Pelodiscus sinensis: one gene and its partner. The protein of the gene in region 2 binds, or shares a complex with, the protein of the main gene of each other region. Links are inferred from orthologs where the notes say so. Each region holds a gene or a part of one and is shown on either strand. Other genes may lie near its edges.

Region 1 (7,640 bases), on a different chromosome or scaffold from region 2:
GGCTGCAGTTCAGGTACTTTGGAAACATGCACACATCCATACACATGTATAGAGTGAAGACTTTCCAATAGCCCCCTCTCTCACGCACACACACACACGCATGGCAGATGCATTCCTCCCTCTCTCTCTCTCTCTCACACACACACACGTATGTAGGTACATAATTTTCCTACAGACCAACAGCTTCATTCTCTACACAACCCTGAGTGGAGTTCCCTGCTGTGCACTGAATGACACAAGTGTCCCGTGGGGAAAATAGTGAGTATATAAAGACAGTCATAACGCAGCTCCACAAAGAACTGAATTAACCTCCATTCTGGCATTTCCTAATTTTTCCAGTGCTTGAGTCTGTAACCTTACTGTTCTTTTGAACTCAGGCTTTCTTAAGCAAAATACAGGACTATGTAGCACTTTAAAGACTAACAAGATGGTTTATTAGATGATGAGCTTTCATGGGCCAGACCCACTTCCTCAGATGAGTTTTGTCAACTGTACATGGTTGTGGTGCTGTTTGACTCTTCCCTCAAACATTTTAACTGACCTGCATTACCCCAAAGTGATGTAGAAATGAATAGTTTTATTTAGAAAAGACAATGGTTTTCCAAATGTTTTTTTTACCGGGTAAAACTTATCAGATAAATATATTTTAAGATCTCCTGTGTTTTCTGCCCCATACCTCGTGCCCCCCACACTGAGGCCCAGATCCTGGAAGGCAGTTAGACACCTACCTATCTTTGAGGAGCTGGAGCTTAGCCTCTACATGCCTTTGGCGCAATGCAGTAACAACCAGGGCAAGGGATCTGATTGCATCTTAGTTAATTGCTTGTCATGCTCCATCTTCCCTGTTGCTCCCTCGATTTGTAAATTATGCTGATTCCCACCAATGTGACTCTTTTATCAATGGGTAACTTACACCTCCATTGAGGTCACCACTGAATTTTGCCCCATGGACGAAATTCAGCCAAAGTGAAGACAACTCCACGGAGGGCAGTAGGTTAGCCCCTCTTTACACCATCGGGACTTTGGCCCTGGGATTGATCCAGTGTTGGAAATTGGAATTATTGTGTAAAGGGGTTTTCACGTTAAGCTGCATGCTGATATGGGTCAGAGTCAAAGTCGATTCTGGAGCCTTGCATATAATTGCCCTCCCATCTGGATGGAGCCATGTGTTGGTAACTATCGTGTTTATATGTTCACAACTATTAAAGTGTCACTTTCATTCTGTTTTAATATTGTTTAATCTGTAATAAAGTTTTGGTCTGGGAAATGATACTAAATGACATTGGAAACAAAGCTGCATGTGCTATGTAGACTTGCTTGGGAGACAGGGGACAGCTCGGTCCCAATCCCATGGGGTAACAGACATCACTTGACCCCTGGAGTATGGGACGGACTTTGCAGAAAGTCCTTCCACTTGTACATGGAAAGGCCCCAACTGGACATACCACTCAGAGTGAGGGGGTATCCCCTTCCAGAGGCTGTGGCCCTGCCTGCCCAAAATGAAAGATTTTTGAACAGTTAGCCAGGAGACTCTGCAGGGTGGGGAAATGGAGCTGCTAGTTAGTGGTTACTATCAGGGAAAAGCCCCTGGGTAACAGAGGCTCTTGGGGAGGCTGACTGCCGTTTGGAGGAGTCAGGCGGCACCGCAGCAATTGTAACTGAGGCGAGCAGCCTCTTTTCTGTTGGGAAACTGATGCCAGGACCCCTCCAGCAGCTTTGGACGGCTGTAAACAGTAAAAACAAACTTGTTCTTCATCCGGGACGTGATCCTCTCACGCCTGATTTCTCCAACACTGCTTCCAGTCATCGAACCCAGGAACTCACTGGGTCAGCGTCCGTCCTGTCATCCCTGGGCCCCAACCTTATCTCCGCGCAAGGCAGGAGTAACAGCACCAGCCAACTCGTTGCCCTCCACCTCCCGTCTTCAGTGATGGCCTTTGGGACCCTCAGGGGACCATTCTTGCCATTGCTGAGTTGAGGGATTTTGAGTCACACAGGGAGGAAATGGTTAATTATTGCTGCATTGTTGGACATTACTCATTTTTTCCCTGATTCTCCTGCTTTTGTCCCCATTTCCTGCCATTTCTCTCTCTCTCTCTCTCCTTCAGTCCTGCCTTTCTATAAATAAAACATTGTTTATTCCTATCAGTTGGTGCTTGATTTCCTGTACTTATAAATTGTATTGTCCTAGTGGTTACTTTGGCGTATCCAGGACTGTCAATCACTGTGTTACTCCTGCCTCAGCAAGACAGAGGCCTAGCTGGTGCTAAACTGGGTGTTAGCTCCCAGAAGCCCCGGATCAAACAAACACCTCCGCATTCTGCCTGCCTTTGCTTTGCCTGCGGCTTAATATTTGATGCCCTGTGGTTCCCGGGCTTCTCTAACAGTCCTCCTGTGGCATCCAGACAGCTAGGCTCTGTCTACACTGCAGCACTGTTTCAGGATACCGGAGGCATCCCGAAATAGCTATCCCGTGTCTTCACAGCAAGCCCGTTACTTCAAAATGTAATGGGCTCACTATTCCGTCGTCCCTGTAACCCTCATCCCGCGAGGAGTAAGGGATGTTTCAGGACAGCGGGTTATTTGAAAATTTGGTGCTGTGTGGATAGTGTCAAATGACGAAATAAGCTATTTCAAAATAAGATGGAAGTAAGATACACAATTTGAGCTACACAAATTGCGTATGTTATTTTGACCTAAGGTGCAGTGTAGACGTATCCCCATTGGACACGCACAGTACCTGACAGCTTCACTAATCCCAAGGAAACAGGATACACACAGCTTGACTAGTACAACTCATGGTCAGTCCTTTATACTATTCCACCATGGATTTATAGGGAATGAATTGTACATTTCCTTTCAATTTTTCTTATATACCTAGTATTCCTCACTCACTATCAGGGACTTAAACCTATTAATAAAAAGAGCCACAACCTCCGTCTTCACAGATCTGCATGCAAGTTTCATTAGAGGCTCCAGTCTAGGAGGTGTGTACAGCAATGTCTTCTCCAGTCTTTTCCATCCATGTGTGGATTTTTTCTATCCACATGCAGAATATTTTTTTATATGCACCGAGGCATTGGTGAACGTGCACCACCAGTGGAGACAAAAATACGAGCTATGGGTACAGGCATGCCCTGATGTAAAAGACATTCACAACAATGCAACTGAATCATATAAACATGCAAGAGATGGCCTGCAAAACCTCATTTTTCACCTGAGAATACCACGGGATTTGGGGACAGCCCTTTCCAACTTCCTTAGATTGCAGTGCCTCAATCCTACAAATACTTAAGCCCAGGTGTGACTCTACTCCTGAGAGTAATCTCATCAAAATCAATAAAACTCATGAGTAAAATTACACGCCTCAGTGTTTGTAAGGGCCAGCATTCCCCTGTAGCCTTTCCGGTGGAAACCACTGGCTAGCAAGAGAGTAAGTGTAGTAGCTGGGTGGGTAGCTGGGATGAACGTAGTCAAGGGAATGCCATTCTTTCAAATACTACTCCAAGTAGGAGAGCCACCTCCAGATGAACCCTTACAGGCCCTTAGCATTGCACGAAGTAGGGCAAGACTTGCTGAAGTAGCAATCCCTTTAAAGCAGCACCTAGTACAGACATATACTAGGGAAAAGGATGTTTTAACCCATCATAATCAGTGACCATACCTAGAAAATAGAAAATACCTCCTGCCATGCCAGGAACTTTATGAAGGACTTGACTTAGTAGCCTAGAAGTTTCTCTCTCTTTCTGTGGCCCTTCTCTGGATAGCTGTACAGAGGTCTCACCTCCTCACAGTGTCCTCAAGTCACCTATTTTTCCTCATTTGTTAACTGGAGGATATTGTCCAGTACTTCGGTCTTAAATGTTAGTTGCACCTCAGTCCATTAGCAAGTCTACCTGATATAAATCTGACTGCTCTCTGACGTGCACTTGGATCTGCAGGCACCAAAAATAAATAGCTTCTGAACAGTAAATGTAATCAAAGAAACAGTAACAGATTATGAGAAGTGTGATCCCAAGCCTGGAAATCAATCCCAAATTTCAGTCATATCCTTTCATGCTGATCCCTCACTGTGGCCTGAGGGAAGCTTCTTTAGCTCCCTCCTTCAGTTTGCCCTATCTGTAAAATGGGACTAATAGTATCTCATGAGGGTGATGTGAGGTTTAATTAGTGAACAGTTGCAAAGCACTGAGTACAATTAGTGCTGTATAGAACTCAGGCAGAAATGAGACCCAGCAAAACTCGAGCACAACAGAGGTTAACACTTTTACTAACTACTATTTCAGGTGCAAACTGTTCTGCACATTTGTTTACATCTCTCAGATGTCATTACTCCCATTTCAATGAATTAGGGACACGGGGCTCTTTTTCTGAACCAGCTTTCCTATGAGCGTTAGATTGGCAAGGACATTTAGTAAGTTGAATGTTCTTAGCTTGTGTTTTTAACAGAACCTCTTATGCCCTATTAAAGCAGAAAACTCAAAGGACCCCTCCCCTAAAAGGCTCTAAAATAGCTCCTCCTATAAGGGCTAAAGTCCCATTCATTTAGCCACCCTTGAGCCTTAGTAAAACAGAGTGTATAGCAGGAAGTTAAAGCATAGCAGCAGTGTTTGCTTATGGACTCGTTCCTTGAGGCACAAGGGGAAACCTCCAGGGAGATGGAAATCCCACCAAAGAGAAAAAAGAAGAGAAAGCATTCAGCCAGCAAAGAAAAACACAAATGTGCGAGTAAGTACAAGTTTAATCATGCGCCCTAGGTTGGCTGCTATCCCCTTCCCTTAGATCCTTAATTTTCTCTCTTGCAATTGAATTCTCTCCCCCCCCCCCCCAACTTTTATTTTCTTGTTATGAAAGAATAAGGAGCTTTGGGATTGACTATGTATGAGTGAATAATTGGGAACTTGCAGCCACCACCTGCAGAGATGCCCTTTATAAAGCCAAGTACAACCAGAGGGAGTTCAGTGTCCTTTACTCCAGTGATCCTATAGACTAGAGAGAAGGGCACCTAGACTTCCCCCCCCAGCTCAGGACTGCAGACTTTCAAAGTGTTCCAGGCCTACCATTGGCATGACTGTGAGCATAGCCATTTCCTACATGTGCATTTGTGCACATTCAACTAGTGCAATGCCTGTGTGGATGTTCTGCTTTAGTTTTAAGAGTGACTTCTTTTGGTTTATTTCAATCCTGTTCCTAACTGGCTTAACTAGAAAGAAGCCTGGAATAAGAACGTTTGCACCAATGTCTTGAAATTGGTTTAAAATCACACTGCAAGTTAAATGGGGACAATTCAATGTGTGGGCAAGTCCTTGGCAGAGTTCTGGCAGTTGCTGTATTGTTAGGGGAGGGGATTTGGCATTCTTTGCTCCCCAGGTGGGGAACTTAAGGCCTGGCGGCTAGATGCAGCCCTGGGCTTACCTGGATCCAGATCCCGAGGTTCAGGGTCTGCCCCCAGCACTGGGGAGCCCACATGGGCGCTCCAGCCACTCTGCAGCCCCATTGCAGGGCTGGAGCACACAAAATCTACTAGGCTGGGCCCCCCAGGCTCTGGTGTACCAGGAGAATGTGGGGAAGCATCTTTCTCCATCTCAGTCAGGGGCCACACCAGTGAGGGTCTGGTGGGGTTTTTTTTTTTTTTTGCTTCTTACCTGTGTGCGGGCCCCGACTGATTTGTGTGTGGGTCAGTGGTCTCTGACCCAAAAAAGGTTCCCCACCCCTGCTGTATATGTTGTGCTCAACTCTTCATGTCCTGGGTTTCTAACATTCGATAACTGGTATCTGCAGAGTCCTTGCCTTTTTTTTTTTTTTTTAGCTTTGATCCATACAAAATGGTGATGGTTAAGGAATGTAGGCTGGAGGAACTGGCTGGCTGGCACAGATAGTGGAGGAAAGCTAATATAGAGAAGAGAATAGGGGTGGGGTTTTGACAGTGGCTCAGACTCTGAGAAAACAGAGTTATGAAGCCAAAAGAAGTTGCCTATCACAGTAACCTTTGCTTTCCAAATATACTGAGTTCCACAGTAACCCTCCTGCCCCAATATTCTGAAAACTTAAAGGATGCATCTGTAGCTAGAGAGAAACTGAGGGATGGATGCATGGGTTTTTATACCGTTAACAAAATCCTGACACAAAACCGGAAGGGTGCAGTCTTGCTTCAGCTTTGGTCTTTATGTTGATTCATCACTGTTTCTGCAGGATGGGACGGTTGTTTCTTACATTCTCTGATTTCTAAAAATAAAACCAATCAATTTTTTTTAAAAAAAGAAGCATGGTTGCTGGTATATGGAACAGAGATTTGTTCTTAACTATTTTTTGGTTTAAGTAGTGGACTTGTGGCTTTAAATAATGCAGTGTGGCATAAATTGTATAAGTTCATTTTGTATTCGACAAGACATCTCTTTTCTAGTGAATGTTCCAATCCACTAATTTCCTCCTCCTATCCCTCTTCCTGTCTCCCCAGTTGCCATTCATTCCTTTCTCCTGTGCATTTGGTATTAACACACTAATACGTTTTCTCATGTCCAGTACTCATCATCTTCATTTAAATGTATTAGCTTGTTAGGTCCTCCAGAATGTATGTATTTATGCTGGACCTGAAAACTATTCAGTTCACCTCTGCATATCATTTATAAAAACAAAAATATGCTGGACCTGCTGGCTCAACAGCTGCTCTGTTTTCCACAATCCACCTTTACTGCCCTATATTCTGATAAATTATATTATCATATAGTGTATTGATTATACTCTCTTGTGGAACCTAATTTTAAATGAAAGAGGCAATACTATTAGAGGGGACTAAAAACCTTAGAACAAGCTGTGCCATACACAGTTCCTTGGCCGAGCGAAAATATTGTATTGGTGACTAAGCAGTTTCTAGTATCAGAGGGGTAGCCGTGTTAGTCTGAATCTGCAAAAGCGACGAGGAGTCCTGTGGCACCTTATAGACTAACTGAAGTGTAGGAGCATAAGCTTTCGTGGGCAAAGACCCACACATGCATCTGACGAAGTGGGTCTTTGCCCACGAAAGCTTATGCTCCTACACTTCAGTTAGTCTATAAGGTGCCACAGGACTCCTCGTCGCTTAAGCAGTTTCTGTGGTGGGATTTGTCATAAGGCATGATTACAGAGACTGGTGCAAACCAGTCATGTGACACTCAGTCTAGCCTTGCTTTCCATTCTTAGAAAAGGATCACCCCAGGGACCAGGACCACTGTAGCAGGGAAGGAGGGCAGCCCGGGATGGTTTCAGTGGGGAGTTAGGGAGGTGTGCAGTGCACAAAAAGGCTTTGGCAGCTGTGGTGAGGAGAACTTGTGCACCGGGGCAGTGGACATGAAAGGGTGGCAATGAGGGATACAAGTACAATCCTTGAGGCACATGTAAGTTTTAGCTGCCTAGTGGTACCTCTTATGTTGCTACCAGAGGCAGAATTTAGGAAAGCACCATAAAACACACTGGCTGCGTCTAGATTGGCATGATTTTCCGGAAATGCTTTTAACGGAAAAGTTTTCCGTTAAAAGCATTTTCGGAACAGAGTGTCTAGATTGGCATGGCCGCTTTTCCGTAAAAGCACTTTTTGCGGAAAAGCGTCCGTGCCAATCTAGACACGCTTTTCCGCAAAAAAAGCCCCGATCGCCATTTTCGCA
Region 2 (7,232 bases):
CTCTTACAGTGTCCATTTAAATAATGAATTAGCAATAAAATTGTAATATCACCCATGCTGCTGCTTAAAAAAGTTTGGTCTGTAAAGGAACTGAGGCAAATGACTTCAGGCTTGTGTTAGTTCCTTTTAAAATGCAGCTAGCCCTGATTTGCAATAACCTAGAGGTGGCACATGGTAATTCTTCTCTCCACTAGGCAGAGGCAGGGTGTACTGAGAATCCAGTTCTGCTCTTTGACCAGTAATCCAGGGCCTGACACCAGCCATCAACCCAAGAGCAGAAAGAAGGGCCCTGGAATGAGAGTTACATGGGAGGGAGGAGCAAATGGACTCTATCATATCAGGGGACCATAGTGCTCCAGGAGGGAGCTACATAGATGTCCTTTGTGAAACTATTTCTCCATCTATGTCTCATCTGTTGACTATAAACATTTCAGGACCCAGCCTCCTCCAAAGATACAAGCATTGCCTTTCCTTATCCTTCCCATCGCCTCTGCTTTCCCCAATCCCCACACAGCCCAACTCCATAAGCAGAAAGCCTTTTGGGACTGATCAGCTTTAGTGGGGGGTGGGAATAAAAAGAACCCATGAGCCTTCAACTATAATCAGATTTATTAAAAATAAAGCAATAGAATCGTGCCTGAAATCACAGAATCACCATTTTATTTCAACAAAAATAAGTCAGAACTGGATTCAAGTTAACAGCTTTCTAGATGGAGATTAGGGACCCAAATAACTTCATTTTTCACACTGAGACAAGTTCAGTAAGATTGACAGCCATAGCACTGTGGTATTTTAGAGGTAGCTCCAGAACAAAGAAATGTGTTTGCACTTAATACTTCTTACATGAATGGAGTATGATGTAATTTCTGGACACCAGACAAAGGCTGTACCAGCACAAATAAGAGACATGCAGCCACGCGGAAGTATTACATGACTTGAACTCAATCACAAGGACAATAACCAGCTTCCACACTTCCAGCTAGGCTGCTGCTCTCTCGAAGTCAAATATGCTTAAATGAAGTGTTTAGATCCATTCTTTTATGTGCAGTCTGCCTTTTGCATCTTGTTTGTTAACCAAGAAAAGCAGCCAGTCCTTTTTGCATTTCCATGTACCCAGCCTTTGCGGCTCTTCTGCATTCATATACTATCCAACTTCTTTAAGATGTATGGAGCTGAAAAAGAACATACAACCAAGATATAGATGTTCAGTTACACGGGATTATGGTTTGCTCTGCCTATCACACAAGGAAAACTAAACTTGCTGTTTGTGAACAAATGGATGAACTCTCACTGAGTAAGTCATGAACCTGAACACATTAGCAAGAACACTGAAGCACGATCTTGAAAGGTGACCTGCAGAGAAGGGAAAAAAGGTGCCCACGCACCCGCACTTGGCATCTTGCGGTGTATGAAGGAGGCTTGGAAGCGAGGAGGACATTGCTTGCGTTTTACGCTATACATTGAGATCTGTCTAGTGCCAGGGAAGTGAGGCTTAGATCTTGTGTACAGCACAAAGGGTCTGAATGGGGGGCGCGGCTCGCGGCGGGGGGGGGGGGGCGCTCCCACGTGGGGGGAGGGGAGCGCGGCTCGCGGCGGGGGGGGGGCGCTCCCACGTGGGGGGGAGGAGGGCGCGGCTCGCGGGGGGGCTCCCACGTGGGGGGAGGGGGGCTCCCACGTGGGGGGGAGGGGGGCGCGGCTCGCGGGGGGGCTCCCACGTGGGGGGAGGGGGGCTCCCACGTGGGGGGAGGGGGGCGCGGCTCGCGGGGGGGCTCCCACGTGGGGGGAGGGGGGCTCCCACGTGGGGGGAGGGGGGCGCGGCTCGCGGGGGGGCTCCCACGTGGGGGGAGGGGGGCGCGGCTCGCGGGGGGGCTCCCACGTGGGGGGAGGGGGGCGCGGCTCGCGGCGGGGGGGGCGCTCCCACGTGGGGGTGGGGGGCGCGGCTCGCGGCGGGGGGGCGCTCCCACGTGGGGGGGAGGGGGGCGCGGCTCGCGGCGGGGGGGGGCGCTCCCACGTGACTCACTGACGCGCAGCAGCGCCACGTAGAGGAGGAAGGTGCGGACCGAGCTGAGAACATCCTGCCGCATCTTCCGCTTCAGCTCCTCCGGGTCCATCTTGGGCCCCAGCCCCTCGATGCGGAACATGGCGGCGCCGGGCTGCTCGGGCCGCGGCCGGGTCGCTCTGCGGGGCGGCGCGCGCTGTGGCCCCGCCCACTGCTACGGCTCCTCGGCCGGGACATGCGGCCTCAGGCCCCGCCCCTCCCCGCGGGGCTGCGCAGGGCACTGGGTCACGTGATAACGGAGCGGCGTTGCGCATGCGCGTTAGCCGCCGTGACGCCGCTGCCCATAGCTGCGCGGGGCCGGGCTCAGAGCGTAGAGTCGGCAGCGCTGGCGCCACCTGGCGGGGGGGAGGTTGCAGGCACGAACCGTACCCCTTGCCCCGCCCTTTCCCCGAGGCCCCGCCCCCTCCCCTCGTCTGCCCCCATTTTCGGCAGGGCGGGAGGCAGGCGGGGGGCCAGGGGGCAGGGCTGCGGGCCGGGATGCATGCATGGTGGCAGCGAGCGGGGAGGCCCCCAGCAGCGGTGCCAGCGGGAGGCGTCGAGATGCTCCACCTGGCCCCGACGGTGCCGCCTGCAGCGTGGCCGACTCGCCGCGCCAGGGGTTGGCAGCTGCACTGCAGCGCCAAGGCCCCGTGTTGCCAGCCTGCGCTACCCAGCTGTGCACCTAGCCAGGAGAATGGGGACGCAACCTCAAACGGGCTCTTTTGGGTTACTGGTAGGGCCAAGGCCCGAAGGGACCACTGCGATCGCCTAGGCTGACCTGCAGAGCACAGCCCCGCACTAATTCCCCGAGCAGAGCTCTAGAAGAATAGCCAACCCTGACTTAATAATTGTCTGGGATGGAGACTTGCACCAGAGCCAAAATGTCGGTGAATTGTCAGTAGGGCAGCAAACGAGAGGCTGGTGTGTTGCCGCTTGGCGCAGTGAGCCGCAAGTCCAGTGACTTCGTTCAGACCACGACGTGTTGTGCCGAGCGCAGTCATGAATGGAACCGCCACGCTTGTCCTTGGAGGTGCGGGGTTCCTTTGAGCATGGGAGGAGTGTTCTCCCGCAGGTGACAGGGCATCTTTGTCTTCCATCCCTTTTCAGTGTGGGTCCTACCTGGCGTGGGGCCATGAGCTCAGGTAGGCTGGGTGCCCTGTTTCTCTGGGGGCAGCAAATCTGTGAATGAGGCAGGTGTCCAGTGGGCCGGAGGATGGATGCTCCAGGAGACGCCTGAGGGCTGGAGCAGGCCTCTTGTTAGCCTGCAGCGTAGCAACAGGGCCTGCAAGGCCTCGAGAGCAGGGCTTGTGTTGCTCATGGCCAGTGGAGATGGGGAGCTGGCTCCCGGCAGGTCCAGACAAGGCTCCCCATGCTAAGGGCAGGCGGCAGTGGCATCCGTTACAAACCTGGGTCCCCGCCCCCAGGAATCATGACAATATAAACTAGAAGATGAATAAAAGAGGCAGAACAGTACCAGAGGGAAAACAGGCGCACGACACTGGCCAGCTCCGTTACCAAGTGGGCTCCAACATATTACTTGGTGAGCCTTGTCACCACTCCTCTAGCTGTCAGAATGTGGGTCCCAACACCCGCTCCAGGGTCTCCAGCCAGCAGGGCCTGGACTGTATGGCCGGGCTGTGCAGCGGGGCAGAGGACCTGGCTGTTACCTCCGCAAGGCAGCCTGTCTTTGAGGGGTGCACTGGCAGGATCCATCAGGCGTTTGTCATGTGTGGGGTCTGGCCTAACAGCAGCCGTGCTGTCGTACTAAATCCAATATCCATCTTCATCCTAAAGAGGAAATCAATATGGGTGGTGGCTCCTTTGTTCCAATTAGCTCTGTGTTCCATCCCGCGGAGGACCACAGTCAGCTCTGGAGTGGATTCAAGGCAGTAATTCACCGCGGGGGCTCAAGCAGCATTCTCATTGCTTATGATATCAGCAATTTCCACAGAGCCCAGAGAGCAAATGCAGCTGCAGGTTCACACCGGTGCAATTAGTTGTTATCTATTATTCATTCTCACTCCTCCGCCTGGCAGGGCCTGGGATGCTGCAGAGGCAGAACGCTGACCCCCAGGGAGTTCGGGGAACATATCACTTCTCCAGCGGATGCATCAGATCATACTCAGAGGGGGCTGCTTCTTCGGCTTCATTGGAAGCATGGTCAGCGTGGCATGGAGTTGTCTGGGGAGCGGGCATACAGCCTGCCAATGGGGTCTCAGTGGGATTTCAGCATTTCACTTTTAACCTCCTTATGCTTTTTTACGGCCTAGTGGTCAGAGCACTAGATTGGCCTCAGCTGGAGTACTGTGTCCAGTTCTGGGCGCCACATTTCAAGAAAGATGTGGAGAAATTGGAAAGGGTACAGAGAAGAGCGACAAGAATGATTAAAGGTTTAGAGAACATGACCTATGAAGCCAGGCTTCATGAACTGGGCTTGTTTAGTTTGGAAAAAAGAAGATTAAGGGGGGACATGATAGCGGTTTTCAAATATCTAAAAGGGTGTCACAAGGAGGAAGGAGAAAATTTGTTCCTCTTGGTTTCTGAGGACAGGACAAGGAGTAATGGGCTTAAAGTGCAGCAGGGGAGGTTTAGATTGGACATTAGGAAAAAATTCCTAACTGTCAGGGTGGTCAAATATTGGAATAAATTGCCAAGGGAGGTGGTGGAATCTCCCTCTCTGGAGATATTTAAGAACAGGTTAGATAGACATCTGTCAGGGATGGTGTAGACGGAGCTTGATCCTGCCTTGAGGGCGGGGGGCTGGACTCGATGACCTCTCGAGGTCCCTTCCAGTCCTATTATTCTATGATTCTATGATTCTATGATTGGCACACAGGAGGCCTGGGGTCTCTTCCCAGCTCTGCCACTAACCTGATGGGCAACCCTGGACAAAGCACTTTGCCTGTCCCACCCTCAGTTTCCCCGTCTGGAAAGTAGGGATAATGATACCTCCTCTTTGAAATGCTTTGAGGTCTACTGATGAAAAGCGATGCATAGCAGCTAGTGGTACTGCTATTTGATTCCCTTTGTAGCCCAGTCCTTTAGTGGTTATAGATGATTGATTTCCAGTTAGTACTAATATAAAGAGCTGGGAGACTGTTGGATTTTAGTTCAAGAATTGGGCACACCAAAACCGAGTGTCGTCCAGTTCAGTAGCTGGGTGTCGACTCCAATGTGCACAAGAAGACACACTGAGGGCCCAGCAAAGTTTTAACAACTTTTATTAACACAATTAGAAAAGACACAAAAGCACCAAGTCACAGAAGAAGAGCAAAAATGCCAAGTTAAAATGATGTCTGGTACCATTCCTCACCCAGACGCTCAGCCCCTTCCTTCGAGAATAAGTGGCAGTACACCAAGAACCTGCTCCGCCCCTGCATGCCAATGAGTCCAACGGTCTAGACCCAAATCACTGCACAATGGCCCCCTGCACATGGCAATCTGGCCTAGCACAGGCTCTAGGCTGTCATGAATATTCACTCAAATGTCCCTTGTCTGTAGCCAACTCCCTCATCCTAAAAGCGCTGGGCTGCCTTTTACCCCAGGTTAGCAGAGGAAGGGGTTTCACTCATTACCACATACGTACATTTCATAGTTAAACATCTGTCAGCAATCTACCCTGAAATGTCCACGCCTGGAATCCATTCGGTGTCCCTGGGATCACTGTGGACAAAGTGCCCCCGTAAGCATGCTCTTCCCAGAGGCAAGGGAACAGCTGAGCCATGTATCTGTGCCAGAGCTCACACACCTCAAAGCCTTATGCTACAGTAGGCTAACTGCACAAGCAAATGTCTTGCAGAGGATGGGCCCGTAGGTTCCTTGCAACACGGCCAAGTGGAATCCAGTTCTAGGGAGCTCTCTTGGCTCTCCCTCTTAGGTAAGATTGGTGAAAGACGGTTACGGTCGTGCTGAAAAGCTGCAATTCAAGGCTGCGGATTTTCCCCACCTCCAATGAATAAAGAAGGATCTTACATTGCCTGCCCATCTCTGATCCCTGAACGGTTCCTGTGTAAGCTGGGCGGAGGGAGGAGAGATTCCTGGGATTTTTTTCTTTTGTGTCTAATTTAATCTAAAATGTTGTTGTAATTGAGTTTGTTGCTAGAGGAAATAGGCTCTCATGTCACAAAGTGCTCTGTTCCCAGGGCCGTCCCCAAAGTGCACTTTGTGGCCATTTCTTTGCTAGACAAGCAGCACTACTGATACCACGGTGCAAATGCTGAAGTATGGATCAGTTTTAGCACTAATGAAGGTGCTGCTCCCAATGACTTCAATAGGAGTTGCGTCTGCTTCAGTGCTGAATTGAAATCATGCCGTTTATAGCCTCTGTGGGTCCTAATCCATTTTTAAACCAATACCCACAGCCACATATATTAATTTATAGAACATGTTGTTGTAGAAAGCGCCTGAAATAAACAACAGGCTACGTCCTTTGTAGTGGCTGCAGTAAGATTTAGGGCAGCATCTGACTGGAAATACTGACACCAGCATATCTCAAAGCTCAATTTGCAACCGGGAAAACTAATGCCGAGAAGTGACTTGACCAAGGACATCCAGCAGGTCAGTGGCAGAGCTGTGCCTGGAACTCAGGTGTCTTGAGTTAGATTCTAGGGTCATGTCCAGTGGACCACTGTGAAGACTGTGGCGAGTGCTTCCATCTCAGGGATGTCCACGGGCTCTCTGGTTGCAAGACTTGGTAGCCAGAGTCCTTGCTGCGAATGAGTAAGACAAGCACAGGCTACCCCCTGATTCTCCTGGTCTGTCCCTGGTGCCTCCTTGCAGTGTAGCACGGCCACTACAAAAGACAGCGACTTGTGGTGCCGGAGCACAGCCAGGGAGGGCATGCACGTGTGAGCTGGAGCCCTGGCACGTTTCTGGATAAGCAAGACCTTTCTCCTCTCCGGGAGGAGCCCGTGCTCCCATTGGAATGCAAGCCCCCTCCCACAGCTCGGCAGCCCACGGGCAAGAGCACAGGGACCGCTCGGTGGGGGCTGGCCATCTGACCCCTTTGGGCTTGGATTGCGGTGTTCAGCAGAGACAGCCGTGCGGGGGCGAGGTCGAAGTGCACGACGGGCAGGGCCCCTGGAGCTTTTCCGCAGGGAGACTCATCACTCTGTGCCGGGGCAAGTCCTTGTGCCTTTTCACAGCCGCCCAGCCACAGCAGATGGGAAAGTAGCCGCTTCGTGGGGCTGCGACC

What was found. The genes of interacting proteins can lie anywhere in the genome.
Region 1: the proteins of TOMM5 (region 2) and VDAC2 are in contact, whole or in part, in a cryo-EM structure (PDB 9EII), measured with the Homo sapiens proteins. The link is inferred for Pelodiscus sinensis from reciprocal best matches to the Homo sapiens genes TOMM5 and VDAC2. Residues at the interface, in NP_001001790.1 of Homo sapiens: Ile25, Arg29, Leu32, Ile33, Ala36, Arg39, Val40, Phe43, Ile44, Lys47; in NP_001171752.1 of Homo sapiens: Val38, Thr60, Gly63, Asp239, Tyr258, Gln260, Thr261, Leu262, Leu268, Leu270, Val286, Leu288.

Annotation. Positions count from the first base shown.
Region 1 is NC_134718.1:8,199,747-8,207,386, forward strand, and holds the start of VDAC2 (non-selective voltage-gated ion channel VDAC2), read left to right. Parts: upstream 1-4,601; 5' UTR 4,602-4,616; coding exon 4,617-4,728; intron 4,729-6,106; exon of another isoform or gene 6,107-6,888; intron 6,889-7,640. UniProt on the Homo sapiens protein: Non-selective voltage-gated ion channel that mediates the transport of anions and cations through the mitochondrion outer membrane and plasma membrane.
Region 2 is NC_134716.1:616,976-624,207, forward strand, and holds TOMM5 (mitochondrial import receptor subunit TOM5 homolog), read right to left. Parts: upstream 2,222-7,232; 5' UTR 2,142-2,221; coding exon 2,021-2,141; intron 1,173-2,020; coding exon 1,138-1,172; 3' UTR 592-1,137; downstream 1-591.